4 linked regions of the Alligator mississippiensis genome follow. The protein of the gene in region 3 interacts with the protein of the main gene of each other region in a biochemical or structural test. Links are inferred from orthologs where the notes say so. Each region holds a gene or a part of one and is shown on either strand. Other genes may lie near its edges.

Region 1 (7,948 bases), on a different chromosome or scaffold from region 3:
CGCCCTCTGTCCATCACTGACAGCCCCACACGCCACCCACCGCTCTGCTCCTCCCTCCCTCTACCCCTCCTTTCATCGCTCCATCTCCCACCCTCCCTCCCTGCACCCCCCACACCCCCCAGTTCCCGGGCAGGGATCCGCCCTGGAGCGGACACACGGTCCGGAAATTCCAGCCCCGGGGGGTCTCCCTCCCTTCCCTCCTGCGGACCCCACTCTCGGGGGGGGGGGCGGGGGGAGGTTGGGGGCTTCCCCCTGCCCAGCTCCCACTCATAATCCCAATTTTAAAAATGTGGAGCATTGTCCCCTTAAAAGTACATTGTGGGGGGAGTTTGGGTAGGGCGGGGGCGGGGCTTCGTGATAGGTCACGCCCCCTTAACCCTTCCCCGTCCAGGGGTGCGAACCAAGGGGCAGGCGGCTTCGGCGGGGACTGTCCCGATTACGGCGCGGCTGGAGGTGGGAGCCGGGGCCGGGGAGGGGAGGGGAAGGGAAGGGAAGGGAAGGGAGAAGCCCCCAGGGATGGAGAAGGGGAGCCTGAACGTGTGGTGTGTGAGCGCGGGGTGAGTACAGGGGTACGTGTAGTCCCTGGGGTGCAGTGTTTGCTGGGGGCGCAGGGCAGGGGCTCTGGGTCCAAGGGGTTGCAGAGCGAGGTGTGTGTGTGTGTGTGTGTGTGTGTCTGTCTGTCTGTCTGTCTGTCTATGTCTCTGTCTGTCTGTCCGGGACTGGGTGTGTGTGCGCGCCCAGGATTGGGGGGGGGGGCAGTGTTAGAGTGGGTGTCCAAGGCTGGGTGTGTGTCTGTGCGTGTCCAGGCTTGGGGATTGGATGTTGGGGGAGGGAGACAGGAGTGTGCCCAGGGATGGAGAGGGTGTGTCCAGCAGTGTGTGGGGGTTGTTTAGGGGTGTGTATGTGTGTGTTCAGGAGTGCTTGGGTGTTGTCCAGGGGTGTGTGGGGGGTGGTGTCCAGGGAGGGTGGGTATTGTCCAGGGGTTTGCATATGTATGTGCCCAGGGGTGTGTGTGGGGGAGTGTCCAGCAGTGGGGAGGTGTGAGTGTAAATCCAAGGGTGTGTGTTTGTTGGGGGGGGTACATAGGGGGCTGTGTGTAAGGGGCTGCAGTGTATATGTAGGCATGTGTGCATAGGGATATGTATGCGGTATGTTTGCTGGGGTTGTAGGGTGTGTGTGGAATAGGGGGCAGGGGGACTGCAGGCTGTGCGTGTCCAGGGCAGTGAGGGACAACCATTTTGGTGGGCATCTCATAAATTAGCCCCGCACCCTCCCCAAGAACCACTCTCATTCCCTTCTCCTGCCTGATCCACTGTTCTGCTTTCTGCTCACTGCCCTGTGCCCCCTGCCTGCTCTGCTGCTCTGCTTTCCGTTCCCTGCCTTATTTGCTGCTGTGCTGCCTACTCCCTCCCTGATCTCCCATGAGCCACACACTGAGGCTGCCTGTGCCACTAGTGGCACCTGTGCTGTAGGTGGACCCCTCTGGCGTGGGGCTGGGTGCATGGAGTCAATGTGAGCATGGAGAGGTGTGGGTATGGGCCCCTGGGTCTGTGTGTGAATGCAAGGGTGCGAGTGCGCCTGTGTGTGGAGGTGTGTGTAATTGAGTGTTCATGTATATTCTATGTGTGTGTGTATTGGGTGTGGAGTGTGTGTATACTGAGTGTGTATTCAGGGTGGGGGATGGTGTGTGTGCATTCAGGGTGTGTCAAGGTGTTTCTGTTCAGGTCCATCTCCACTCCAGCCTTAGCCGCCTCTCCCTCACCCACCCACCCGGTTAGGGGCCAAGTCTCACTTGCGGCCACACCCCAAGTCACGTGTCCCCGGGCGTGTTCTAAGCATGTTGTAAGCGTGTTTGTTTCGCCTGAGCAGGCCTTGGTGCTTGGTGCATGTGGGCTCCTGCCCTTAGCCTCACTAGTGACTGTCTTGGATGGCACTGCTCTATTTCTGGGCCACTTTGTCATTGGATTCCCTGATTGGCTGCTTAATTTGTGCCCTGCTCTGCTATGTGTTCCCCGGCTCCCTGCCTCCCGGAGCTGGTGGGGGAGGCTGTGTTTGTCCCCTTGCTCTCTTGAGGTTTTGGATTTGCAAGGTGAACAGATTGGCTGGGTAACTTGCTTCCTTCTGGAACAAATTGCCGCCTTCTTTGCTTGTGGGCACCTTTGTTGCTGTTTTCATGCTTTTGCTGTTCTCCTGGGTCTGATCTTTTATTATGGTTACAGTGAAGACCGGGGGGCTCAGCCTCCAGCCCACAGCTCAGATCTGGTCCACAGAGCCATGGCATCTGGCCCGCGGGGATCCTCACGGTTCGGGAAATTTGGCAGCAGGGGAGTGGTGGTAGATCTGCATGGCTGGATCAAATCCTACCTGGGCATGGGCGGGGCCAATTCCCCCGGCCCATTGCCTTGCATCTTTGGATCAGGACTGAGCTATGACCCCCTGCACCCCCTAGACATCAGGATTGCAGCCAAGCTGCTCCCCAGCCCCCCCCCCCCCCCCCCATTGGGGCTGCACCATCCCTACCCCTGCCCCTCCTGCACGTCTAGATCAGGCTCCTGCCACACTGGCCTCATGTGCTTAATCAGGCCCATCAACCGGATCTGGCTTGTGGATGGACCTGGCACTGCCATGAGGCCTGTGGGGTGAAAAGTTTGGGCCCAGCAGTGTAGAATGATTCACTTATATTCTAGTAACACCAAGAGACCCCCGATGGAGAATGGGCTTTGCTGGCCACTGCCCAGACACCAGCTGAGATGAATTCGCTGCCATGAGCAGGCGTCGCCCAGACAGGCTGAGATCAGGACCCTTTTCACACCAGGGGCCATCCAGACCCTTCAGACTGACATCTGGTATCCATTGTGTTGAGTGGTGCCCAGATAGCAATTAAGATCAGGATGCAGGTGCTGCCCAGGGTCCTGAGTTCAGGGACCCCTGTCATACCAGGGACTGTACATGAAAAATACCCAAGAGCCCCTGCTCCAAAATCTAGAAGGAAAGGTTCTCTCTCCCCTTCTTAATCTCCCCTTTATGCTGCCAACACATACTCACCCCAGTTACTCACATGTGCAGACTCTGCATGTGTCCCTGAGGCTGAATTCAGTAAAGCCAGACCAGACGCCTCCCATCCATCCGTCCATCCATCTCTCACTTATACCTACCTACCCATCCATCCATCCATCCATCCATCCATCCATCCCTTCTATCTATCTATCTACCTATCCATCCATTTGCCATCCACCCATCCATCCCTTGTACCTACTTATCCATCCACCCACTTATCCATCCCTTCTTATACCTACCTATCTATCCCTCTACACTCCCCACCCTCCACGCCACCAGTGTACCTCACTGAGATATATATTAGATCTCTCTTTATAGCTGTATTCCATAACCAGAGATTTGTGGGTGCATGGCTGATGCCCTGGGTAGAGTGTTGCCCAGGCCTTGCCCTTCCTCCCTCACACCCTCACCCTTACTCCATTCTGGTCTAGTTGAGGTGCTTTGGTCTGAGGTCATGACAGAGACTGGGGCTGCATGACCAGATCTTGGAGACTGGAGAGAGTGTGTGTGTGTGTGTGTGTGTGTGTGTGTGTGTGTGTGTGTGTGTATGATGGACCTTTCATGCTGCGTCTCCTCCTGGCTGGCATCTCTTGCCAGAAGTGCCTGCCTGGGAGTAAATTAGCACATGTATGTGGGTAAGCACTGCCCTGTGAGACTGGCAGAGTGGGGAGATTGGCAGGGTAAGTCCCAGCCCTTTGTTTCCTACCTTCTCGTCCTTGGGTTTTTTGTCAGTGTCTGCATGTAAGTTCCTGAGATTTTTGAGGGCAGGGATTGTTGGATGAGCCATTTGGGTGTTTTCTGCCTGGCCCTCCTGTGCTTTTGGGTATTCCTATAGCTGAGAATTGGTCCCATTCAGCTCAGGCCTGGAGGACTAATTTAATCTCTGGCTAAAAATCTGCTTGGAGGCCCAATTCCCTGGGTTTTGAAGGGTGTCCTTCCCTTAGACGCCAGAGCAAGAAGAGAGAAATATTTCAGATTCTCCAGCCATCCCCATTTCTGCCCTTCTACCTACCTACCCACCCATCCATGTGTCTGTCTGTACATCCACCCTGTCTACCTCTCTACCCATCCATCCATCCATCCATCCATCCATCCATCCATCCATCCATCCATCCATCCTATTTACCTGTCCGTCTGTTCATCCATTCATCAATTCCCTCTGTTTATGACCCATCCATTCCTCCATCCATTCCTCCACCTCCAATGCACCCCTCTGATATATGTATTACATCCGTTTTAACTGTATTCCATAACCCAGGCTCCTTATCAGATCACTAAGAGGTGAATGCTTTTAAACAAACTATATCTATTCCCTCCCTCCATTACTATAGTAGGGTTGGAGTGCTGGTGCAGCCATCATGGTCCAGGAAAGGTAGGAGAGGGCATTTGGTGCCTGAAAGCTTGTCCAACAGCTCTCTGGGCTATGCAGGTGGTCCAATAAAAGATACCACAAAAAATCCTCCCCTCCATCTGTGTACACATCCATCTTGCCAGCCCCCTCATATACACCCCACCTTTCTCCATCCAGACTATAAATACTCCTCTGTCCTCCACACTCTGCATCTGTCCCCATACATACCCATCCATGCACCCATCAGTCCATCCATCTATCCATTCCCCCACCTCTCTTTCCACCCGTTCTTCTATCTATCCTTCCACCTACCCCTCCACCTCTCCATCCACCCATCTCTCCACCCACCCATTCCATCCTTCTGTCCATCCCTCTTATCTTCTAACCCATCTTACTCACCCAAACCCAACTCCAGGCTTGCCCCTAATTTAATTCAAACGCCACCCACACACACACACATGCATATTTCTTTTCCCTCTGAACCTCCCCGTTTCCAGCCTGCCTCTGTGTTACTGCTGACTCTGCCCTGCCAGGGCCGGAAGCTCAGGAATGCAGTGAACTTTAGAAGTTGGGCTGTGCAATGGCTTTTTTTTCCCCACTTTAGCACAATATTTGCTTTGGCTTCCAGAGGCCGGGAGACCGTGAACTGGGCTACCCATCAAGCCACTGAGGCATTGAGTTCCTCTATGGAGGGGCTCTTCCAAGTGGCGCATCTTGATCTGGCATCTCATGACTCCCATGTCTCTGATGAATGCAGGTAAATAAGAGTCCTGGAGCTCACGCCCCAGAGGGAGGGGAGAGAGTGCAGCTCCACGGAGGAGGAAAAAGAAAAGAGGGGGAAGGAAGAAATACATGAGAAGAGGAGGAGAGTGGCCAGGGGTCCTGCATCGACTCGGGCGCTTCTGGGAGAAGAGGATGGCTGGATGAAGACGGGCTGAACGGGGCGTGCTGTTGGATTTGGGACAAGTGTTGGCTTCTGTGGGCTCCCTGGGCTCAGTCGGCATCGGGCGCCTCGCTGGATTACAAAACAGGAAGAGGGAGATTTTGGCTGGATCCCAGTAACTCGGATTTCTCCTGACGTCGGATTGAGTTAGGGTGAGTGGAACCGAGGTGGCTCCAGGCTCGGATGGAGGGATTTGGGGGTGGGGGGAGGAAACGGGGTTCTCTGGAGGGAAAGTGTGCGTGGGGGGGGGCCCCTGGCATGGATGGGGAAAGGGAAATGCAGGGGCTGGACGTCTGGGTTCTGCCCCTGGATCTGGGAGGTGAGTGAGGCAGGGCTGGGAGTCCAGAGTCTTAGGTCCTTGCTGTGGATCTGGGAGGGGTTTAGGGTGGGGTGGGTTTGGGAGCCCGGATGCCTGGGTTCTCTCCCAGCTCTTGGAGGGAGTGAGGCCTGGTGGTTGAGCTTTGCTTCTCTGTTTCTTGCAGGACCCCATGGCCCCCTCACCTGGGTGGGAAATACCTATTGTTTCCTCCCTCCCTTCTCCCTCCTCAGGGTTGTATCAGCTCCTGAACACCCAACCTTTTCCTCACTCACCCAGCTCCATGGAGACAGAGTTCCTGTCTCTCTTGCTGGGCCAGGGAGAAAACCCAGGCGTCCTGGCACCAGCCCCTTGCTCTAACCCCACAGACGCCTCTCCCCTCCCAGTGTGTGTGGGGGGAGCTGATTGGCCCCCTACTCTCCTGGGTTGTTTGCTCCGGGCCTTCCCTGGCTTTTCCCCTTCCCCAGCAGCATACGGCTCCCACTCCCTTCACCCACCCCCTGCAGGGGGAACTGGTGGGGTGGAGGGGCTGTGAAGTTGTGCCACAGTCACTGCAGATCCCACCCGCTAGAGCCAGGATACAACCCAGGTGTCCAGGCTCCCAGGCCCCACGCCCCTTCCAGAGCTGAAGACAGAACCCAGGCGTCATGCCTCTTCCCCAAGGCCTGGTACCCAGAGATCTCCCTTCCCTTGACACAGTTCCACCTGCCTCCCTGGGAAGATGAACCCCGTCCGCCTTCTCCCTGGGAAGGGGAGGGGGTGGAGATGGGGCTTGCTTCCACAAGGCCTGGCAGGCAGGAACCCAGGAGCCCAGGCTCCTGCTATCCCCTGCTCTGCTCCGGGAGGGGATTAGAGCAGGGGGCCTGGCAGCTGGGACACCTGGGTTCTTTCCTTGGCCCTGGGAGGAGAGTGAGGTCTGGTGGGTCTGAGCTCAGGGGCTGGGAGCCAGGACACCTGGGCTCTGTGCCAGTTCCAGGGGAGGGAGCTGGGCCCTGCACTTGCCAGTGCCTTCAGCAAGCTCTTCCCTGTGTAGTGCAGGGCCAGGGCTTCCTCTTCCTCCTCAGCTCCTTCATCCCAGCCCACTGGGCTCTTTCTCTTGCCATCTTGGTTTCTTTGGCCCTGACTCTTGCTCCTGCTACTCCTGCATTTATCTAATCCCCTGCCAGCCCCAACCCTTACTGCTTCTTCCTCACACCATTTCTTTGGCCGACGCCAGTGGGTCCATCCCCTTCCCTAGGCCCGTCTCCCCTTGGTCTGGATCATGTTTCCCTGGGACCAGCCCTCTCAGCCATCTCTATCACTGTGGAGAGCCCCAGACCCCAGCTTGGCACTGAGGCATTTTGGCCTTGTCTGCTCCTTGCTGCACTGAGGCTGTGGAGAGGCCATGGCTCATCCAGCCTCTGACTAAGGCTGGGCTCTTGGCTTGCCCATCCAAAGCTTGATGCTCTCAATGGCCAAGGGAGAAAACCCCCCGGCCCTGATCTGTGCCAGCAATGTCCTCCACATTGTGTCCTTCTTGGACCTGCCACCCACTTCCTTTGCCAACCCAGTCACTTTGCCCATGTCGTTGCTTCCCGCTGGCTCCCCTTTCCCTGTCTTGGGGTTCTTCCCTTTAGGCCCATCTCAGCTTGGGAGCCCGGACACCTGGGTTCTGTCTCGGCTCTGGGAGGTGCATGGGGTCCGGGGCGTAGCAGTGGGGATGGGAGCCCGGGTGCCTGGGTTCTGGCCCAAGCCAACCTGGCAGGGCTGATGGCAGAGGGGTGCCTCTATCCCAGGCCTTGGAGATCTGCGCAGGGAGGGGGCTTGGATGCCCGAGTGTGGCTGCGGGGGGTGGGGAGGTGATTTCCTGTCCCAGGGAAGTGAAGTCAGTTTCCTCTGGCAGACCCGCCCCTCCCCCATCCACCAGCTGGCAGCCTTGGCTGGGGGCCTGCGGATGTGGGGTGTCCTGGGTGGGTGGGAGGGGTGGGCTCAGGGGGCCTCAAGGGAACAGGATGGGGCTGGCACAGCGGGGTCACAAGTCAGAGGAATAGGCTTGGGGGGTAGGTCTGGGGCATTCCGGTGGAGGCTTTTGATGAGAGTTTGGGGAGATGATGGGGGTCTAGATGCCTCTCTCTTCTCTGGGTTCCACCTCAAGGTCCTAGCCCTGAGCTACCCTGGGGGCTGGGATCCCCTGTCCCACAGCTGGATCCAAGTGATGGAGGGGAGGGGATCACCTCCCTCTGTGGGCAGGCGGGTGGGGGGGCAGGGGATGCACTCCTAATCCACCCCACATGGTTCTCCC
Region 2 (7,050 bases), on a different chromosome or scaffold from region 3:
CAAAATCTCTCACGCTCTCCTCCACTGGTCAATAGAGGGTTGTGAGAAAGGAATATAAAAATCAGGGGAAGGATCAACCATGAACAACGTGAAGCAGAAAGAGTTTGCTCCTGCCCTCACTGCCCCTAAAAGATTGGGTACCAATATCCCAATCATTTTTCCCCGGGCTGCTCATATGTTTAAGAGGATTAAAGTTTCTACAATAGCAAAAAATGCCCTCTGATTAGCTGAATATTTTCAGAGGAGTTAGGTATGATCATGTATGATGTGTGTTTAAGTGGGAGTAAAGATCAGCTTACAGACAATTTGAAACAAAAGAGGGCCAAAAACCACATACAGATCAATCAACAAATATATTTATCAGCTTTAACAGTGAAGTAGATTTGTTTCCAATTAAAAGGGGTGAAGGCTAAGAATAATGTTTATGATTTATCATTTGGGTTATGGTAGCACTTAAACCAGAGATTGTAATTCTCAACCAGCGCTGGGGTGCTTTGAGATTCTTTCAGGGGTGCTGCAGTGCCACGCAATGTTAGAACCATTAGGTGTGCAAATATGATTCATGAGATAAACCGGGATATCAAATAGGAACCCATAGTGTTAAAAACATTCTGAATTTTTAAGTAACTATGGTGGGGCTTTTGTTTATTATTTGTGTTTAATACATTATAAGGCAAGGTTGACAGAATAGAAGAAAGGAAGTGATTAGTGAAAATGAACAACAGGCAGCAAAAGGAAGAGTGGAGGTAGGAATGGGAGGTGTCAGAGAACAGAAGAGAAGGGCATGAAGGGCAGCTAGAACCAGGCTGAGGAGACTGTGCGGGAGGGGGAAGTTGAAGCCAGCAGCCAATCGGTAAAGGGCAGAAAACGTTCACTGCAGAAAACAGCTTGGTGGCATCAGTGTCTAAAGGCCCCTGGATCCCTGGGGAAGTTGCTTCTGCAGCTGTTCCTGCTGGCTTGTGTGTATGCTTGGTTACACACAAACCTGTCTTTCTTTTCTGAAGTCCACATGCAGAAGGTGAAAGTTAAAGGGATTTATGTACTTACATCTCTTAGGCCCTTTTGAAAGTTTCTCTCTGGAAATGGTTGAAAACTTTTTTACGGGTTCCTATGATGGAAGCAAGTTTGCTTAGAGGTTTTCCAGTGCGGTATTTTATACTGTTAGCCATGCTGAGTGGTCCTCTATTCATTCTGTACAGTGGTGTGCCTTATAGTAAAACTGAAGGAGAAAAGCAAAAGCTACAAAAGATAATGCTAACATAAAAAAGCGATATTCAACCTCATCCTCCAGTGTTTAAGAAAGTCTGTAACTAGTAGGGATTAGGAGACATAATGTCATGAGTCAAATTATCTCATGTCTGCCTATTGCAAGGGCACCTGCATCTTCCTCAGAAGCATCTGGTGTCAGCCATGCTCAGCGATAGGATACTGAATTAGATGCATCATTGGTCAGATCCTGAATAACAATTCCTATATACATATCCTGAATAACAGTTCCTATATACATAAGAAGCTGATTTGGCAGTAGCATACAGCAAAATTGGACAGGCTGTTAACAACGGGCTAAATCCTGGAATGCCAGAAGCCTTATGTAAATAAGAAAGGTAGATTTTGTTTGAAAATATATTAGTTAACACAGTTTTAACACAACTTTGCACCTTGCGGTGGATGCTTTAACACTGAAAAATATTAATCCTAGTTTACTCTCCTCACATCTAGTCTAGTCTAGGCAAGGCTTTCAACACAGGGATAATTTTCCTCATACAAGTAGATTAATTGGGGGAAAAAAGGCACACATAATTTTTGGCAGGTTAATGTTCAAAATATTTCTAAGTATTTATGTCAGGCTCTCAGCTGCTACCAGAAACCATCATTGTGGAAAGTCACAGAAAATAAACCAGTGAAACATATGGCAGACTGCAGACATGATGACTGGAAGTGAACACAGGAAGAAAAGCCAGCACTTTAGCCACCATACATAGTGTTAGTAATTGGCTTCATTGCTCATATAAATTGTAAGCAAATGAGAAAAATGTGCAAATGGGATCAGTTGGGCCAGGAATGTGCTGCCAATGTTCCTAGAAGGCGATCCCATAAAAATAATCCCTTTCAGCTTTCCATTGAGCTGTATTTTCTGTGATGAGCTTGCTTGCAGAAAGGACATAAAAAGGCTGATGAATCCATTCACGTTTTCTCCTTTTTAAAGAAAAACACTCTAACTATAACCAAAAAAATGATGAATTAAAATGAATCTAATATAATATGGTCATTCAGTGCCCCCTGTTCAGCTTGTGTAATTTGAAATAGATGTGTAGCTTTGTAGGGGAATTCAGGAGGTATCTTCACCCTGGGATTTTTAAAATCAACTGCAGTTTAGTATGTTCCTAAGAGGGAAAACATTTTTTCTTCAGGAATATTTTCATGTAACCCAGGGATGTCATCACTGTCAGGGATGACTTGGTAGTATGTGGAGTGTGTCAAGTTTATCAAAGTGGAGAAGCCATCACAAGTCTCTTTTGGTTTGACGAGAGCATTTTAATATGAAGCTCCCAAAGGCTTCCAGCAGCCCTATACAGCACATCTTTACTTGCTGTGGCCAAATTTTGCTTTTTCAGGCTACTGCAGTTTTCTGGGGGATGTCCTTCATTTCTGCTATTTCTTTTCCTTCTAGGGTCTGTCTGGCTTTATGGACAATGCTAGTGGCTCTCAAACGCAGCCGTCCTAAAGCACTCGCGCTAGACCAGTGGTTCTCAACCTTCTTAGGCGCATGGCACCCATAGATGGACTCAAGGAAACTCCTTAGAAAATGCAGACTATTAGCTTTTGCTCCTGGTTTGAATACAGAAAAATAATGAAGCGATTTTTTGTTTTGTTTTGTTAATTTTTTTAGTTTGTTTTGTTGCATAGAACTCAGCCCATAACAGGGCAGAATGGCTTCAGCACTATTTGAAATCTCTGGGTTTATCTTAGAGTCTTTGCACACCTAACTGTGCTAACATAGCCTGTCAGACCAGGGCACCCTTGAAAGACTCTCGAGGCCTTCCTGGGGTTGAGAATCGCTGTCCCAGACATGCCAAACACATGACGCTGCCCCAGACATACATGACATGCCTCTGCATTGGTTTGTCGAGCGAGCTCGCAGACTGCTACCAAGTGGCACTAACCAACCCTCCACCAGAGGGCACATAGCGCAAATCTGTCTGTTCTTTTAGATCTGCGCTACAGGTTTCTCTTACTTTATGTGGGTTCTGTATGGGTGAATTCGCTCTTATGCAATTACCCTTTTTATACCAAAAAGTCATTATATACGACATAAATTCACTCTTATGCGATTGGTGTGGTGGAAACCCGCAGTCAGCTACTTTGTGCGGTGCATTGTGGGAGTGATGCGCACCAAAATATAGTCTCCTGTGTGGATCTGTGCTCCTTGCGGGTTGTCTGCGACATGTGTTTCTGTAGTTGCCATCCCCATTATGATAGTGCCCTGTGCTGGTGTGTACTGTCTGCTGTTGGAGAGTAGACATTGTCCTGTAGAAATGGGTCTGGGGGTCAGTACAATCAAGGTCTTGGAAGTATCCCTATTTGTTACATTGTAAAGTGGGTTCCCTTTATGCGACTCAGAGTTATGCGCAGTTTTTCCAGGAACGCACGTACAGCATAAAGCGAGGGAAACCCGTACTCGACACAGGGCAAACTCAAGGCGGAGCAAATCTAGTCCAGAAAGACTGCCGCGGAATTTACCTGGCTGCATATTGAATTCAAGGGACTCCTGGGTTGCTGAGGGGTGAGGAGAGGGTTTGGCTGACACAAGGCAGGGGAGATGGACGCCTTCATAGACTAACTTGAGTAAAGGTATCCCTCGAGGAAGAGGGAGCACAACTCCAAGTCACCTGAGCAGACGCTGACCCCGCCCTTCGGGGGACAAGAGGCCGTGTAGGCCTCAGCGGAGACTTCATCTGGGCCCCCAGCGGGGCTGCAGGGGGAGGGGATTTAAATGCTCTGCCAGATGGTGCCTGCCCGAGACTCCCGTGTGCGTGTGTGAGAGAGAGATCCTGCCCGCTCTTTGTTCGCGTGCCGCCCAGAGACGTGCGAAGGTCACGCGTGTGACACGCGCGGCGCGGCCCTACCCGGCCCGCAGGCTCCCCACGCCCGGGCCGCGGACGCTAGGGGGCCGCAGCCGCCAGCGGCGTCACGTGGGGGCCGGGCCGAGCACAGCGGGAGCTCCCGGCGCTGCCGCGCGGGGCGTCGCCCGCTACATCGGCGCGGGGAAGGGCAGGGACAGGGACGGGGGACGGCGAAGGCGGCTCCTGCAGCCCGCGTCGCTCCTATGTGAAGGGCGCGGGGCGGCCGCAGCCATGAGCTCGGCCGAGCAGACCGTAACGTGGCTCATCACCCTGGGCGTGCTGGAGTCGCCCAAGAAGAGCATCGCGGACCCCGAGGGCTTTCTGCAGGCGTCGCTCAAGGACGGCGTGGTGCTGTGCCGCCTGCTCGACCGCCTGCTGCCCGGCACCATCGACCGGGTGAGTCCCTGCGCGGCACCGCTCCCCTTTGTGCCGCGGCGCCATTGGCGGCCCGGACCCGGGCCCGGGCGGGAGGGAGCCGGCGGCCCCGCCTGGCTGCGGGGGCTTCCCGGGCGCGGGAAGGGGCTTTCCCCGCGGGCCGCGGCCCAGCCCCTCCTTGCAAGGTGGCTTGTGTTGTGGGGGGAAGGGCAGCTGCGGGGCCCGGGCATCCCTCACCTGGCCCCGGGGCCACATGATGCTGCCCCTGTAAGCATTGGCTTGTGTGGGGAGCGTGTTTTGTTTTATTTAGGCCTCCTATTTTGTACCTTTTCCTCCCCCCTGTAAGCATTAGAGGCATGTTTTAAAATGCTACCCAGAGCTCCTGCACTGGGCGGTTGTCAGCCTCCTCATAGAAGACGAGGGCTGCAAGGGACCTCAGGAGGGCATCTATGGCAGCCTCCTGCTCAAAGCAGAGCCATCCCCGACTAGATCATCCCAGCCAAGGTTTTGTTTAGCCAGGGGCTTAATATTGTTGTTTCCGCCTTTTTATATTTTTCTCTATTCCTCAAAAAAAAACTCTGCCCCCCCCCCATGGCAAACATAGGTTACAATTTGGAGTTTGTGTGAAAGGCATGAAATAAACTCACTTATGATACAGTCATGCCTCTTGCCATACAGCAATTCCTCTTGTGTTCCCAATTCAGGGGGTTTTGAAACCTTATACCACACCCCAACATACAATATAGTCTTTCGTATGATCGGACAGGTAGCCCAAGTATTCCAGTTCTGGCTTTTCTCCTGAATAGTAGAGGGATTGGTATTTGTCTGAAGGTGAAATTAGAGGCAGGTGATTTTTTTTTTTTTTTTTCCCCGTACAGAGCAGAAATAGAACCTTTGACCTACCTATTGGCACCTGCGCCAGCTCTTTGCTATTGAACTTTACCAGATAATGAGCAAAAGAATGAAGGAGATCAATTGTTGGTATTTTAAAAACCTATGTTTGCAAAATACATTCACATAATTGAGGAAGAATTGCCTTGTAATTGAGGTATTGGACTGCGGTTAAGGGAATGCTGTTCTTGGCACTACTGTGCAACACTAGTTTGTATGTAGAGACCCTTGTGGTACTAGGTTCCTGACAAACAGGTAACCAAAAAGGTCACCCCAGCACCAAAGAATTTACAATGTAATGATAAGACAAAAGGCAACATACACTTAAGTGGAGAAAAAGGAGTTTATGGGCAGTGCGATAAGCAACAACGGTTGTGACCTGTTACCTGCCTTTGTGAACATAAACAAGTCAGTCTCTCTGTGCCTCAGTCTCCCCCTCTGTGAAACACAAGTGATAATTTTTCTTCTTCTCTTGCCTGTGTAGGATTCAGTCTTGCAAAGATTCAAACATATTCTTAATTTACACAGTGCAAAAAATCCAAAATTGAGGGTCAGTCTACATTACAGAGCTACTGCCACTGCTGGTGCATCTTTGTTGTCAGAGGCTGGAGATGCAGTGTATGCAGACAGAGGCTCATGTAGTTATACCGTCTCCAACAACAGAAACTTAATTGTGGCAAATACCTTCTTTTTGTCAGTGAAGTTGCATGTAGACTGGGGGCTTTGCCACCATATTTAACTTCTCAAGGGTATTTGCTATCTTTTCATACCCCTAGTTATCGTATCTATGTCAGCAAAACTTTGTAGTGCAGACCAGACCTCAGTCCTAGCTGCATCAGAGCCAGAGAGTCTAGCTCTTTGGAACAGGGACTGTGCCTTACTGTGCACATAGATAGAAGCGTAGAATGAAGCCCTGCACATAATTGGGGATGTTAGGTGCTACTCTAATGCAAATAATAATAATAATAATAAAGAAAGCTTAATGGAAAAGATGATAGGAACAGTATCTCATTATTTTATTTTATAAATATAGTATGACAAGATAATAGTTTTATAAATAAATATATAGACCAGCTACTAGAGTAACTGGTACCACCAAAAATATAGCCCACTTTAGTTAAGGTGAAATTTATGACGGTTTGGCCCTGTGTTAGGTTTGTGCAGTGGGACACTATTGGAGCAGCCACAAAGGCGGCCCTCCATGTTCCCTACGTATTGTTCAGGCAGCTCTGAATAGGTCTTTATTGAGGTCATTGGATCCACGTTTTGATAGATGCAGTGGCTGGGAACCAACGGACTTCTCAGCAATTTGCAAACCGTTATTATGGTTCTTTGGCTAGAATAGTGGCTGTAGAGAGTCTGCGGCTTGCTCAAGTTGGGGTTGTGTCAGTTCTAGCTGCCTAACTTGGTTTGCCTGAGTCATCCCTCTACCACAGAGTGAGTTAATAGTCTTTGTGGTAAAAAGGCTGCTTTGCCTTCTCGCCCCCCATATAGCACTTGTCGACTTGCCAATCTACAGACATAGCTGACAGACTTGTAAAACTACTTCCTATCAAACTTTGGAAAGATTCTGTTTAGAAACATTCTGCATGTATATTACTACTTGGCAACAATAGTAGTTTGGGGTGAGCAAGAAAAATGGAATCAAATCCATTTTCTG
Region 3 (7,261 bases):
AAAAGAAGGAATTAGTAAGAGTCAGAAAAGCAGAAGTCCAAACCCAACATGAAATACTACCAGTGCTGCTAACATCCCTAAGGCTTATATTCACCAGTTTAATGCTTCATTTGAGGAACACAGGTAGGTTTGGATTTGTTTCTTTCATTCAACAATTCAATAAACTACAGGATGTTTAACCAAAACCCTCAGACTCTCTACTACTTGAAACTAGTGTTTACTTCTCCCAGCCCATCATTAAATGTCGGGCATTTATCCACACACCACTCTAGCCAAGTAGTGGAGAACCATAAATACCCAGGTCACCTAGAATTCTGTACCAAATTTTAACCCTATGAAACTAATGATAGTTTTGCCAGACTGTAAAACTAATAGACCTGTGCGAAGTGGCTTGTATTCGCTCCGGATAGGGCCAATTCGGGGGACAGCGATACAATTTGGTGATTCGAATCGCTGTCCCAAATCGATTCTGCCGAATCTGATTCAGAGGTTTGGCTGGTGCTGAATCACACAGGCATCCCATCCCCTGCCTGCTCTCAACGGCTGCCTTGCCTGCCCCAGCTCTGGCTCTTTGAAGAGAAAACAAAAACGCCTGCACTCACCCGTGCTGCGTGGGGGGCTCTGCCACAAGCCCCCAGAAGCCCCAAGGCCACTGTAGCAGCCAGTGAGTGCAGGGTGGGGGGTTTGGGTTTTTTTCAGAGGGCCAGGAGCTGGGGTGGGCAGGGCAGTTTTGGTACTAGAAAGGACTTTCTAATAGACACAAAGGAGCTTCCATGCTGAATTAGACCAGCGATCTATTTACTACTGTAACTGTCAAAGACTGACCTAGTGTTAGACATCTGACAGGAAGCAGCAAGATACTCAGAAATGAAAATCTGCACTTACATGTTCACATTAGAGAGGGGAAGGAGTTTCCTCTTAGCTCTAAAATCCACTGCCTTTCAATTTACCATTGCTCTTGTAACAGAGATAACATCAATAAACCCCCTCCCCCAAGTAACCAACTTCTTACATTCATTAATTGCATGTGCATTATCTCCTCAGTCATCTCCAACCTCCTTCTCTCAGCCAGAACTCCTTCCACTCCTATGCCTTCAATTTTGCACAGCGAGAATTTTAAAGTAGCCTGCTAGTCATATTCAGTGCAAATTATTTCAGTGCTCAGGAAATCAAAACTATTTCATGTTTAGAGCCCTAATTTAGATTGTTTACTTCAGAAATGTTGGAAAGACTGCAGGAAACCTGTATTAGCAATGAAAACCTAATTTAATTTCCTGGAATAAGTAATCATTTTATAGCATCCTTTTTTTTTTTTTTTTTCAGTTTACCAACCATGCACCTAGTCTCAAGATTATCAGCCTAAGCGTGAGCAGCCACATACAAAGACACTACATATATGTATATCGGTTTTACCTGGTGAAATTTTGACATAAAGCTACCCACTCTTTGGTACAACCATTTTGTTCAATTATTCCTTATGGCAGGGGTGGGCAAAATGTGGCCTGGGGGCCGGATGCTGCCCGCCAGGCCCTTTTATCTGGCCCGCGGGGCCCCTAAACATTTAGAAAATGAATATTAATCTGCCCTGGGCTGCCTGTCAAGCAGCTCTCGATGGCTTGCCGAAACTCAGTAAGCGGCTCTCTGCCCAAAATAATTGCCCGCCCGCCCCTGCTTTATGGAGACGTACGGTGATCTTTATATAAGGGTAATACTGGAAATACTAAGTGACTGGTTTGGACAGACAGAACCAGCTCTACGCTCCTTAGTAAAAACAGTCTTACCCAAACATGATCATTTTCACAAAAAATTGATTCGTCTGCCGATTTTCCTTTCAGAACATGCTGCCCCTTTACAGGACAGATAATGGGGAACTTTACGGGCGCCATCCATTCCAGCTGCCGAGTCCCCAGACTGAAATGTTATTACTGCAAAAATACTTGATCGTTTCCCTTTGGTCTTGTACTGATGACAAGAGGCAAATAAAGGATCGCTATCCCAAGTCATTCTGCAAACACGCGAGACGCTGACCCAACTCCCGCGCCCCGTTTCAAGTCCGGGCGCCGCGGGTCGTGTCAGGCAGCGAGACGGACGGCGCATCTCGTTCTGCTCGAAGCGCGCCGCGTCTACGGACAAGCCGCGGACTACGGGACTCGATCACAAACTGCAGCGCTGAACCTCTCGGGACCGCACGGCTGCCCGCGATGCGTCTGCCAGCCCGCTTTCATGCCAGGACTGACAAGGCAGGGACGCGCTGGGCCAGGCCGCCCACAGAGGTGTGGGACTCACCCTCCATCCTCGCAGGTGCGCGAGCCCCGGGCGGACAACGCCCTGGCGGGGAGGATGGGGTTGGGGCCGGGGCTGCCCCCCTCCCCGGCGGCATCTCTAGCACAGCAAGACGGCTCCCACCATCTTGTCGGGATCGGAGCGACGAGCGCAGACGGCGGACGCGGGCACGTGCCCGACAACACGGCTCGGCTCGGCTCTGCGCTCGCGCCCCGGCAGCGCGGGGAGGGGCGGGGAGGGGAGGGGAGGGGAGGGGAGCCCGCGCCGCGCCGCGCCGAGGGACCGGGCAGGCTGCGGGTGGCAGCCGGGCGGGGAGGGGAGCGCGGGCTGCCGGCAAACGGCAACGTGTGGTCGGGCGGGGCGGGGCGGGGGGGGTTACAGAGGAGGCGGGGGTGGCCGTGAGGACGTGTCAGCGCGGGGCTCGGGGAGCGCGCCCGGGCCGGGCCGGGCCCCCCGCAAGATGTCTGCGGCTGCAGCAGGAAGTGGCGCCGGGGAGGCAGAGGCAGCGGCCGCCGCCCCAGCAGCGCCCCGCGGCGGAGGATCGGCCCGGCCCCGGCCCCCGCGGGCGGACAGGCCCCCCGGCCCCGGCCCCGGCCCGGCCCCGCCGCACTCACCCACCTCGTCCGCGCCGGGCGTTGGCAGCTCTGCGGGGTCTCCTCGCCTCCGAGCAGGGGCCTGACGTCAGCGCGCACGGCGCGGGGCAGGGCGGGGCTTGGGCGCTGTCGTGTGTCGTGCGCGGACACGTGTGGGGCAAGCGCGTCCCCACCCCGCCAGAGGCCGGCCGGGTTGCTCGTCCTCCCGCGGTGCAAAACCCGACCCCTTGTGCCCTGCTCTTGTCCCCCACACACCAAGTTGTCCGGTTCTCTGTTACTAGAGGACAGCCCAACGGTCCTCGGGGATGGCCACCTTAGGCCGTGTCTGGCCCCAGCCCCACTCCGAACCCGGGCCCGGCCTGCAGGGGCTCAGGCCCCAGTCCCGGTGCGCAGGGACCAGTCGAGGCCCGGCGGGCCCAATCCTGGAGCGCAGGGTGGTCCAGCACGAGCCCCTCCACCAGTGACTCGGGGCCGCGAGGTCCTACCACGGGCGTGCCGCGACTCCCCGCTGCACCGGCCAAGCGGGGAGGTGGGCCACGGGGCTGCCCCGTTCAGCTCCTGGGGCCGGGAGCTCCCCTGGCCCCGGTGCAAGGAGGGGGCGCACGATGGGAAGGGCAGGGCACGGCGAGCTCAGGCGTCGCCCCCGCCCGCTACATCAGCGGTGCTCAACCCTTCTAGCCTCAAGGCCGTCTCCATAAACGCTGCCCACGGACCAGCACGCATTTTAAAAACCTACGCGCCACGGAGCTAGGTTCTAGGCTGAGCGGTTCTCAACCACCGTGTCACTCCACTCCAAAATATTTTGGGGGGTGCCTTCATACTACACTAAAAAAAGGTTGAGAACCACTGCTTTAGAAGAAAGGACTAGGATCCCCTGATAAATTGGGGGGAATGATCTGAAATAAACAGGATGAAATTCAGTAAGGTCAAGGGCAAAAGGTGTTGTTTGTGCTTCAGTTAGGAAGAACTTCTTCACAGTGAGAGTGGCCAAGGTCTGGAACGGGCTCCCAAGGGAGGTGGTGCTCTCCCCTACCTGCGGGTCTTCAAGAGGAGGTTGGATAGGCATCTGGCTGGGGTCATCTGAACCCAGCGCTCTGCAGGGTCACTATGCCGGGGGTCGGACTCGTGGTCTATTGAGATCCCTTCCGGCCCTAACATCTATGAATCTATGAATTGAGGAACCATAGTCAGCTTTCAGGAACAGGTTACATTTATTAATAAATAAACTAAAGGAGATGGATATTAACTGAGAATCAATCCCAGTGGGCAACAGCCCGGAGCCCTGCTCCTAACCCGACTGCCCACTGTCAGTTTTCTCTGAACAACATAGTTATTTTCAGACAAACCTGTTACAAGGCCAATACCCTTACATACACAAAGTGCTACACTTAATAAAAAACAGTCAAATTCACGAATATGAAATGAGGAATTACTGGTTAGTCTGCAGTATTGTGAAAAGGACCTGGAAGCTATAGGAGATGACAAGTGAGTGACTCAACGCTGCAATATCGTCGCACAAAAAGCTAGCAGCATTTGAGATGCATTAATACAATTGTGAGACTCAAGTCACAGGAAATACTTCTTCCACCCTATTCAGTGCTGAGAAGGCCTCACCTGTAGTACTTTCTCCAGTTTGGGGCGCTGCCCGCCCTTCAAGAACTAATTGAACAAACTGGACAGAGACTATGGAAAACCAATAAAATGATTAGAGGTCTAGCAAATATGACATTTGAAAAAAGACTGGAAGAATTGGGATTATTTACTTTGGAAAAGATAAGACAGAGAGGGCATCTGATAATAGCCTTCAAATATAGAAAGGATTGTTATAGAGGATGGCAGTCAATTGCTGTCTGTGTTCACGGGCAGGGGGACAGAAGTAGTAATAAGCTAAAAAGGCAACAAGGGGCAGTAAGGTTAGATTTTACAAAGAACTTCCCCTACCTATGACAGGGGTTGAATACTGAAACACATTGCTCAGAGTGTGGGGAATTGCCAGCACTGGAAGATTTTAAGGACAAATCGGACAAACATTTGGGACGGCTCACAACAAGGTGACAGCGCCTTGAACGGGGAGCTGGACTACATGACCTCCTACGGGCCTTTCCGACCATGTTTTTCTGCTCCTGTTTTTTATAGATTTTTTGGAGCTGCAATGCTCTGGTCACAAAGTGTTCTACTGAAGTGGAGTTTATGCTGCTCAGTAGTTCCTCCAGATCCCTGCACTGTTGCAGAACATGAGATTTCAAAACCCTGAACTGAGACTTCAAAACCAGCGATGCTCCCTCATCCCACGCACAATATTGAGGTTGAAGAGCCCTCACCACAACTCTACGAAAACAGGAAGTCAATGTTTGAAGTAGTACTTTGCACACAATAGAGTCAGGAAATTTGAAGTCTGCCCCCATTCAACAAAATACCCTACTTCTCCAAAATAATCCCCCGAGTTTTGGGCCTGACACTTCTGGCATGATGCAAAGTGCCACCCTGTTCTTCCAGCATCACTGCAGCCAGGGCTACCATGCATCTTGTGTGTGGCATGTCTATAGACACCAAGTTGTTTGGGAAATATTACCGGAGCTGTGCACTTCCTGGTTTTCTAATGCTTATGACTGTGTCTCTGGGGTTTCAACACTAGTCTTTGAAGGGATATGCAAGGGGACCTTAACGGAGCATTTATCACTGCTGCAAGTGTCCTTGTTTCTTGTTTGCAAAAGGGGGAGGGAGTAAGTGATACTTGCTGCCTCTGAGGATAGGAATAGTTCTTGGCTTTCTGTCAATGTTATTAATACTGAGCACTGGAAGAGTTGCAGTTCGAACACACGGGGCCTAATCCTCATTTAAGGCCATTTTGTGCCACCCTAGCAACAGAGGGCAGAACAAGACCCTCAGGACGTCGCGTGTACAGGAACCTCCCTAGTGATCACACAGCGGGCATACAAGCTCCAAGCTAACCCTGCAGCGGACATGAAGCATCAGGAATGTGTCGAGAGTGCATTGTGCTGCATTAACTATAAGGCTGGGGAAAGCAGAGCTGCTCTTGCAACAGAAATAGGGCTGAAATTAGCAGGGCCCTGATCCCTCAAATATACGTAGCTTAGAACATGTTCCTCCTTCCAATACAGAGATGGAGCAAGGGTAGATGGAGGCCACTTTTCCAGAAAACAGCACACTGCACATTCACCAAGACTAAAATGACTGGGAGGGGTCCTCTTTCCCTAGGAGTCAGCATGCTGGCAATGTCAGCAGATTGCTAACACCGCCTCGTTCCACTCCATATTACAAGCCACAGCCCAATAACTGTTCACATTTTAAAATGGGGACTTTTCTTTTTTGGTACTCTGCAGTCAGTCTCAGCAAGGAGAGCCCAGAGATGCCAATTTCTTGTCTCTCCTGCAGGAGCTGGGTGGGCACTGCCAGAAGTGTGGGCAGGAGCTGCAACCTCCCTCTCTTCCCTTCCCCTTGTCTCCAGCTCTGGCAGGGGAAGATGCAGCAGCAGCAGCAGCAGCACAAGGGCAATCTGGGAAATGTAGTTCTTGTTATAGGGTGATGTCATTGCATTTTTTCTGCCAGAAACTGTGGGGGGTTTCTTTGGCCACTAAATGCAAGTCTGTGGCAAAAAAAAATAAAATAAAAAGGGGTGATATTTCCCCTCAGCACCACCAAACCTCCAGCTGCTCTGCTGCCACTGTTCCTCTTTCCCTCCCTGCTGCCAGAGGCTCTGGAGCCAGAGCTGGGAGTACAAGGGCAAGGGGGCGGGGAAGGAGGGAGAAAGCAAAGGGGTAGTCTAGAAATACTCAGGCTGAGGATCCACGTAGGAAAGATCAGCCAAATACATACGTATGGGGCTTTCAGTTGCATGTTTAGTGTCTACTGTTAATTAAGTCTCAGCCTTGTTAAACTTAAGGCACCCTTTGCTAGACTCGAGGCACCCCTCAGAAATGCCAGCGCTGAACTTCCACTTGTTTTCTGATGACAGAAAAACACTAGAGCAATTCTTCTGTTGCACAGAACTCAGAAAGCCCACAGCAGGGCAGAACAGTTTTAATCCTATGGATTCCTATTTCAAATCACTACTAACATTGCCTAGCACCCCATGATCAGTCTGGAGATTTTTGTCTAATGCATGTATTGCAGGCTATTACACTTGCCTAGGCCCCATTCTCATAGCATCAGAATACCTCACTATCCTTAATGTACCTGTTCTCACATCCACCTGTGAAGTAGGAAAATGCTTTTATTCTCATACCCTGACAGGGCACTGGGCACCAGCTGCCTTGTTATATCTCTGCCCCCACGCAAGCAGCTGCCATGGCTGTAGTCACTACCCCATGCCCTGGGCTGGATCTGGCCTAGAAGGAGCCCCCATGGTCCAGAACCCAAGATAA
Region 4 (7,221 bases), on a different chromosome or scaffold from region 3:
CAGGGGGTTCCCAGGTCATAGCCCACAGGGTGGAGGCTCTGGGGGAATTCCTGGCTGCCCTACATCTAACCCACATCTGCCCTCCTGCCCACCCCCCAGCATCAGCCTGATTGAGCCAGGGCCGGTGGCCACGGAGTTTGAGCGGAAGTTGTATGAGGAGGCGGCCACCCTGGATTTGTCCGGCCTGGACCCTGAGACGCGGGAGCTCTTCCAGGGCTTCTACTTGCCCTACTCTCGGGAGGTTTTTGCCGCCCTGGCCCAGTCGCCGGCAGAGGTGGCCGAGGTAGGAAATCCCCTTGCCCACAAATCCTCCATTTTCTGGGGTGCTGGCTGCCAACCCAGACTGGGCATGACTCAGCACCCTCCACCCTAAAAGATGGGGGGGGGGGGGTGGACGGGTATGTCTCTGCTGTGACCCCTCCAAGCCATGGGGGGAGAGGGCAGGACCATCACCCAGGTCTCCCCAAGCAGGATAGGCCCTAAATCTACACCTCAGGGTGCCCGGAGCTGGGGTTTCTTGCAGCAGCTTTCTGGAACATGTCCTGCTGTAAGATTTTTTTTTCTGGGGGGCATGTCCAGGGCCCTTGTTAGTATCACTTGGATGCTGCCCCCCTCCCCAGTGTTTTGGGGGTTCAAGGGCAGACTTGGGGGGGGGGGGGGGGTCCAGGGTCCTTGTTATGTTCAGACCTGCTGACCTGCTTCCCCTGATTTTGGGAGTTCAGGGGGTGGGTCCGGCTGTGGGTGCCTGGCTGTGGGGGGTGGAGAGAGTTTCACTGACTTCCCCCCCCTCCCCCAGCACTTTGGGGGTTCAGGGTCTGGCAGGAGGCGGGGTCTGGCCATTGGGGGTATCGGGGACTCTGGTCAATCTGAGATCCACTGACTTTGCTCCTCCCTCAGCACTTTGGGGGTTCAGGGTGGGGGGGCATGTCTGCAGCCCTAGTTGGTTTCAGACCCAGTCCCCCCCACCCCCCTAGCATGTTGAGGATTTAGGACCTGGCCAGGGGGGAGCTCTGTGTGTCCTCAGCCCTAGTCAGTCTGGGATCCTGCCCCAACACAATGCTTTGCGGGGGTCAAGGTTGGGGGTGGGGTGGGAACTGGATCCAGACTTGGGGGTATGTCTGCAGCTCTGGTCAGTTTCAGACCCACTGGATCCCCGCCCCCCGCCCACCCCCCAGGGTTCAGGGTCTGGCTGGAGCATAGGTCTGTCTCAGGCCTGGTCAGTCTCTACCCCTCTCCCTTGGCCTTTTGGGGGTTCAAGATCCAGCCATAGGCTTCAGATCCAGACCCCACCCCCACCATGGCACTTCAGGGGTTCAGGATCCAGCCGTGGAAGCGTCTATCCAGGGTCTTGCTCAGTCTCAGACCCACTGACTCCACTCCCCCCCCCCCCTGTACTTTGGAGGTTCAGGATCTGGCCTGGGGAGGGCGGGGCATGCTCAGGGTTAGAGCAGCCTCAGACCCACTGATCCCTTTCCCCAGCACTTGGGGAAGATCTGTGTTCCCGGAGCCCCAGTCGGTTTCAGGCCCTGGTCCCTCCTCCTTCCCCTCTCCAGCACACGGCTCGGGTGATCACGTCAGAGTCGCCGCCGTTCCGGTCCCAGACCAACAGCCTGTATGCACCGCTGGCCACACTGAAGCACGCAGACACTAGCGGGCACTTGCCCCTTGCTGCCTTCCAGCGCCTCATCTTCCAGCATGACCGGCTCTTCAAGGCCAGCCTCAGCCTGCTCAAGCTGCTGCAGTGGCGCAAGCGCCGGGACATGGACCACACCAAGACCCCTTGAGCCCCAGCCTTCCCCCCCCCCCCATACAGCCACCTCCCCTCTAGCATCCTCAGGAGGGCGTGAGGTGCCGGCTTTTTTGTGGGGCGGGAATGGGGCAAGGGTGGGGAGTAGGGATCTGGGTGGGGCTGTGAATTGCCCCTGGGGGCTGACCCCACTCAGGGGAGGTTCAATTTGTACTGTGGATTAAAGCAGCAGGGAGACCTGCATGGTGAAAGGCAGAGGAGAGGCGTCCTCTTGGGCTACAGATGGTGGAACTCGGGTGTCCGGGCTCCCAGCCCCCCCCATGACACCCCAGACCGCACTCCCAGAGTTGGGTGAGAACCTAGGCATCCAGGCCCCCAGCCCATCCCTGCTCTGACTCCCCAGACCTCACCCCCCTCCCAGGGCTGAGAGAGAACCCAGGTGTCTGGTTCCTAGGCCCCTGCTCTAACCACCCCCCGCCCCAACTCCCCGGAGCCAGGGGCAGAACCCAGGCATCTACCCCCACTCCTAGAGCTGGCGAGAGAATCCCAGCTGCCCCTCACAACTTGTTCCAACCCTGGTACAGAGCAGGACCTGCTAGAAGATGCTGGTAAGAGAGCCCAGCAACTACCATATTTCTTGGCATAGCAATGCCCAACCTGTGGCCCATATGGGGGGTACCTTAGGAACATTAAGGTTATCCAGGAAGCAGGTTTGAGGAGGCATTGCTGTCCCCAGGTTCACTCCCTCCTGCCCTGGGAGGGGAAACTGAGGCACACACAGAGTGGCAAAATGACCTGACTAGACCTATGCAACAATGAGACTTGCATCCCCAGCTGGCACCTGCAGCCCTATCTCATCCTCCCTCTATGCTCTGGGAGGGGCTGGAGCTGATCTGAGGTCAACTTGAGGGAGTACCCCAGCCTCTACAACCCCCCCCCCCCCCCCCCCCAACTGGGCTGTTTGAGTTTGCAAAGCTAAGCAGGGTCTGGTTGGGTTAGAGCAGGGATGGGAGACCCAACTGAGAGTTAAGTGGCCTTGGTTGAAGTTAGCTCTTGGGGAAGGTAACTTTTATGTTTCTATGAAGCATTTTGGGGCCAGAATGCACGTTTTGGGGGGGGTGGGGGCAGAGGTCAATCTTGGAATTGAAATGCGACTGCTTCTGGGGTGGAACCACAGGGACAGGAGGCTTGGGGTCCAGATGTCTGGGTTTTTCTGTTTATACATCTTTAGTTAGTCTATAAGGTGCATCTCTCACCTGCCTTTGACCTACACAGCCAAGTACCCGCAGCTCCACCAATCCCTGCACTCAGCCCTGCCCTTCCACCAATCAGTGTGGAGCCCTGTGTGTGAGCCTGCCCCTGAAAGGTAGCCAATAGGAGCACAGTAGGGCAGGTGTCAATGGGGGCTGTAGGGGTTCATGTCAGCATGGAAGGCTGAAGCTAGACATGATTTTTCCTGTGAAACTTTGGGGCAGGAACTACATTTCCCAGCATGCTGTGTGCCATGGGCTTAGGTGGGAACTACAGCTCCCAGCATGCTCTGGGGCCCTTGGGTGCAGCCACTTCTGGGGGGAGGGGCAAGGAGGCTGCGCAGCCATTGGTGGACACAGAATCCCTGACCTAGTTAAAGTGGGGCCTGGGGCCAGGACTTGGGGTTTCTGCTCTGGGAGGGGCAGGTCTGGGCTGGGAGTGCGGGTGCCTGGGGTCTCTCTGCTTGGGGCAGCGAGGGGCTGGAGCCTGGACTCCTGGTTTTTGCTCTGTTTGCGGGAGGGGCTGGGACCTCCGCTGCCTGGGTTGTCTTCTCTGCTGCTGGGGGGAAGGGTGCTCAGACACCATTTCCATTTGGGGCAGCGGGGCAAGAGGCTGCGAGCCTGGATGCCTGGGTTTTAGTTTCCGTTGGGGGAGGCTGGGAGTCCAGATGCCTGAGTTCTGCTCCTATCGGGCCTCTCTGGCGCCAGGCGCACAAACCTCTCAGGCACACAGACCTCAGCGAAGAACATGCTGCTCTTGGCAGGGGGGAGATCTCGGCTGCCAGAGGCCTCAGGAGACCTGGAGGTGAATAATTCACTACAGCAGCGTGCAAATAGGGAGCTCTGCTGACCGTCCAGACTTGGCGCTTCTCCCTTCCACCCCCTCCCTGGAGCTGCCTTGCCAGGGCCCCTTCAGCCTGAAGGTTGAGTCATCGGCAAGGACACATCACCCTCCATCCTACGCCAAAGTCTGTGGCCAAGTGCCTTTCCCTCAGTATCTCATTCCAGCTTATTCAGCCTGGCCTGAAAAAAAACAAAAAACCAGCTGCTGCAAATCAGAATGCTCATTATACATGAGAAATATGGGAAGAACAGTTTCAGCCCCTTGGTAATACTTTTGGTGTGAGATTTCCCCTGGGTGCCCAGCTGCTGGGTATCAGAGTGCTCATTTATATGCAAGAAATATGGTAAGAGCTGTTTCGGCCACTTACTGGGCACCCTGGAAAAACTATGGAGCAGATCCTCAAGGAATCCATTTCTAAGCACTTGGAGGAGATGAAGGTGATTAGGAACAGTCAGCAGGGATTCACCAACAGCAAGTCATGCCTGACCAAACTGATTGCCTTTTGTGATGAGGTGGATGCGGGGAGACCAGTGGATGTGGTATACTTTGACTTTAGCAAGGCTTTTGATACAGTCTCTCACAACGTTCTCGCAGGCAAGCTAAGGAAGTGCGGGCTGGATGAATGGACTGTAAGGTGGATAGAAAACTGGCTCAAACATTTGGCTCAGAGGGTAGTAATCAGTGGCTCGATTTGTAGTTGGCAGCTGTTATCAAGTGGCATGCCCCAGGGGTTGGTCCTGGGGCCAATTTTGTTCGGTGTCTTCATCAACGACTTGGAAGATGGTGTAGAGTGCACTCTCAGCAAGATGGCAGATGACACCAAGCTGGGGGGAGTTGTAGATATGCTGAAGGCTAGGGCTAGGATTCAGAGTGACCTAGACAAATTGGAGGATTGAGCCAAAAGAAATCTCATGTCAACAAGGACAAGTGCAAAATCCTGCCCTGGGATGGAACAATCCCATGCACCGGGACAGGCTGGGGGCTGACTGGCCTGGCAGCAGCTCTGCAGAAAAGGACCTGGAGGTTATAGTGGACAATAATTTGAATATGAACCAACAGTGTGTCCTAGTTGCCAAGAAGGCTAACAGCATCCTGGGCTGCACTAGTAGGTGTGTTTCCAGCTGATCAAAGGAAGTGATTATTCCCCTCAATTCAGCACTGGTGAGGCCACATCTGGAGTACTGTGTTCAGTTTTGGGCCCCCAGCTACAGAAAGGATGTGGGGAAATTGGAGAGAGTCCAGTGGAGAGAAAAGAAAATGGTGAGGGGGCTGGGGGACTTATGAGGAAAGACTGAGGGAACTGGGTTTATTTAGTCTTCAGAAGAGAAGACTGAAAGGGGATTTGATAGAAGCCTTCAGCTACCTGAAGGGTGGCTCCAAAGAGGATGGAGCTGGACTCTTAGTGGTAGTGGATGACAGAACAGGGAGCAATAGTTCAAAGTTGCAGCAAGGGAAGTTTAGGTTAGATATTAATAAAAATTTTATCACTAGGGGAGGTAGTAAACCACTGGAACAGGTTACCCGGAGAGGTGGTGGAATCTTCATCCTTGGAGGTTTTCAAGACCCGGCTAGATAAAGCCCTGGCTGGGATGATCTAGTTGAGGATGTTCCTGGTCTGAGCAGGGGTTTGGACAAGGTGATCTCCTGAGGTCCCTTCCAACTCTAATTTTCTATGATCTCAGAGCCAATTTCCGTAGTGATCCCTTTGGTATGAGATTTATTGGGCAGTCTTCATTCTTCAGATCAGCCCAGAGATCAACAGGTAAATCCTGAGATCATCAGGAAAGCAGGGCTGGAAGGGGCCCCACAAGGTCTCATTTAGCTCAACCCCCTGCTCCAGGCAGGATCTCCCTTAGCTAAACTAGCCCAGACGTCAGGGTAGACATGCACCTTCTAGACTTATGAAATCAGCTTGCTTCACCAGATGCATCCTAAATCATCCAACCTGCATCCCAGTGTCCATCCAACCTGCTCTTGGACACAGCCAGGGATGGAGACTCCACCACATGTCTGGGCAGCCTGCTCCAATGCCAGACCACCATGAGTGCCTGATGCCTCTTGAGTCAGGGGGGAACATGCCCCCCTCCTCTGACACCAGTCAGTGACAGGGGTAGGAGGTGGGGGAGGGGTCCATCTCTTAGTTATGAGATTAAAACCACTCCACCCTGTTCTAGGTTTGATGAAGCCTTTGCTATAGAAGAATTTCTCTGGGATTTTTCTATAGTCAGGAAAGGATTGGAAACAAAGAGTTGGTATCTTCTGAGGTAGTCTGGGATCTAACATAGTGGTGGATAGGTTAGGGTGCAGAAAGCAGATCAGTCAATGGTAGAGGGAGCACAGGTCAGATAGCAGAAAGCAGAGCAGCCAATGGAGCAGGGAGTATAGGGAGGGAACAGAAAGCAGAGTAGCTGATGGAACAGGAAGTTCTGGGCAGGGAGCAGAAAGGAGAGCAACAGGTGGGGCAGGGAGCAGAAAGTAGAGCAACTGATGGGGCCAGGAGCCCAGGGTAGGGAGCAGAAAGGAAATTAGCCAATGGGGTAGGGAACAGGAAACAGGGCTGCTGGTTGGGCATGGGAAGGGATCAGAGTAGTGCTCAGGGAAGGGCCTGGCATTACTCTGTGGCTCCCTGCCAAAGAGGTCACCCCCCCACCAAGTTAGTCTATACAGTGCCATCCCTACCCCTGCCTGTTGCCTGACCCCAGGCTATGATACATGTTGCAGTGTCACGATTCTCCTCCAAGGGGCACTGGACCAGCACAGAAGAGCCTCTCCCAGTCAATGCAACCAGGTCATTCCTAACTGTATCCCATGCTTGGGGCAGAGGTGGGGATTAGCACCCCAAACTCTCTCTCCTTTTTGGGCTGCTGGAGCAATGGTGGGGAAGAAGTGAAGATGCCTGGCAGTGAGACAGAGGAGCTATAAATACTTGAGCAGGAAGGCGAGGACTTTGAGCTGAAGGACAAGGGGTGGCGGGAGCCAAGAATAGATTTAGGCCTGGAAATGAGGAAGGTGTTGAATCAGGGGTGGCAAACAATCTCCTTGGAAAAACAGAAGGGCAAAGAAAAAATACCCTTCTTTTAAATAGTTTATAAGCTGGAGCTGGCTCTGACCGGGATTAGCCAGCAGCCAGGACCCCAGAGCTCCCTGTTCCCAGTACGTTAAAACGAAAGCCTTTTTAAAAAGCATGAGACTGGTGTTAAGGTATCACAAGGTCTGGCCAGTGAATGCAGCTTTTGAATCTGCTGGGGGTGGGGAGGGGGTTGGATGTACCTCAGCTCATTGAGCTGGGAACTCAGTTTCTATATTTACTAGCCTACAATGTACCCAGGAATCATCTCCCATCCCCCATCAGGGTACATGTCTGAAGTGGAGAAGCTGGT

What was found.
Region 1: the proteins of CDC42 (region 3) and CDC42EP5 form a complex in vitro, tested with the Homo sapiens proteins (2 studies listed by BioGRID). The link is inferred for Alligator mississippiensis from reciprocal best matches to the Homo sapiens genes CDC42 and CDC42EP5.
Region 2: the proteins of CDC42 (region 3) and ARHGEF7 form a complex in vitro, tested with the Homo sapiens proteins (2 studies listed by BioGRID). The link is inferred for Alligator mississippiensis from reciprocal best matches to the Homo sapiens genes CDC42 and ARHGEF7.
Region 4: the proteins of CDC42 (region 3) and TRIP10 form a complex in vitro, tested with the Homo sapiens proteins (3 studies listed by BioGRID and IntAct). The link is inferred for Alligator mississippiensis from reciprocal best matches to the Homo sapiens genes CDC42 and TRIP10.

What each region holds. Positions count from the first base shown.
Region 1 is NC_081828.1:39,179,508-39,187,455, reverse strand, and holds the start of CDC42EP5 (cdc42 effector protein 5), read left to right. Parts: upstream 1-4,940; 5' UTR 4,941-5,503; intron 5,504-7,948. UniProt on the Homo sapiens protein: Probably involved in the organization of the actin cytoskeleton. May act downstream of CDC42 to induce actin filament assembly leading to cell shape changes. Induces pseudopodia formation in fibroblasts. Inhibits MAPK8 independently of CDC42 binding.
Region 2 is NC_081824.1:353,744,514-353,751,563, reverse strand, and holds the start of ARHGEF7 (rho guanine nucleotide exchange factor 7), read left to right. Parts: upstream 1-4,032; 5' UTR 4,033-4,355; coding exon 4,356-4,520; intron 4,521-7,050. UniProt on the Homo sapiens protein: Acts as a RAC1 guanine nucleotide exchange factor (GEF) and can induce membrane ruffling. Functions in cell migration, attachment and cell spreading. Promotes targeting of RAC1 to focal adhesions. May function as a positive regulator of apoptosis.
Region 3 is NC_081836.1:1,492,769-1,500,029, reverse strand, and holds the start of CDC42 (cell division control protein 42 homolog), read right to left. Parts: upstream 3,002-7,261; 5' UTR 2,902-3,001; exon of another isoform or gene 2,898-2,901; intron 1-2,897. UniProt on the Homo sapiens protein: Plasma membrane-associated small GTPase which cycles between an active GTP-bound and an inactive GDP-bound state. In active state binds to a variety of effector proteins to regulate cellular responses. Involved in epithelial cell polarization processes.
Region 4 is NC_081831.1:24,055,803-24,063,023, forward strand, and holds the start of TRIP10 (cdc42-interacting protein 4), read left to right. Parts: upstream 1-4,212; 5' UTR 4,213-4,227; coding exon 4,228-4,278; intron 4,279-7,221. Other genes in the region: retinol dehydrogenase 8, read left to right, coding at 100-283, 1,554-1,784. UniProt on the Homo sapiens protein: Required for translocation of GLUT4 to the plasma membrane in response to insulin signaling. Required to coordinate membrane tubulation with reorganization of the actin cytoskeleton during endocytosis.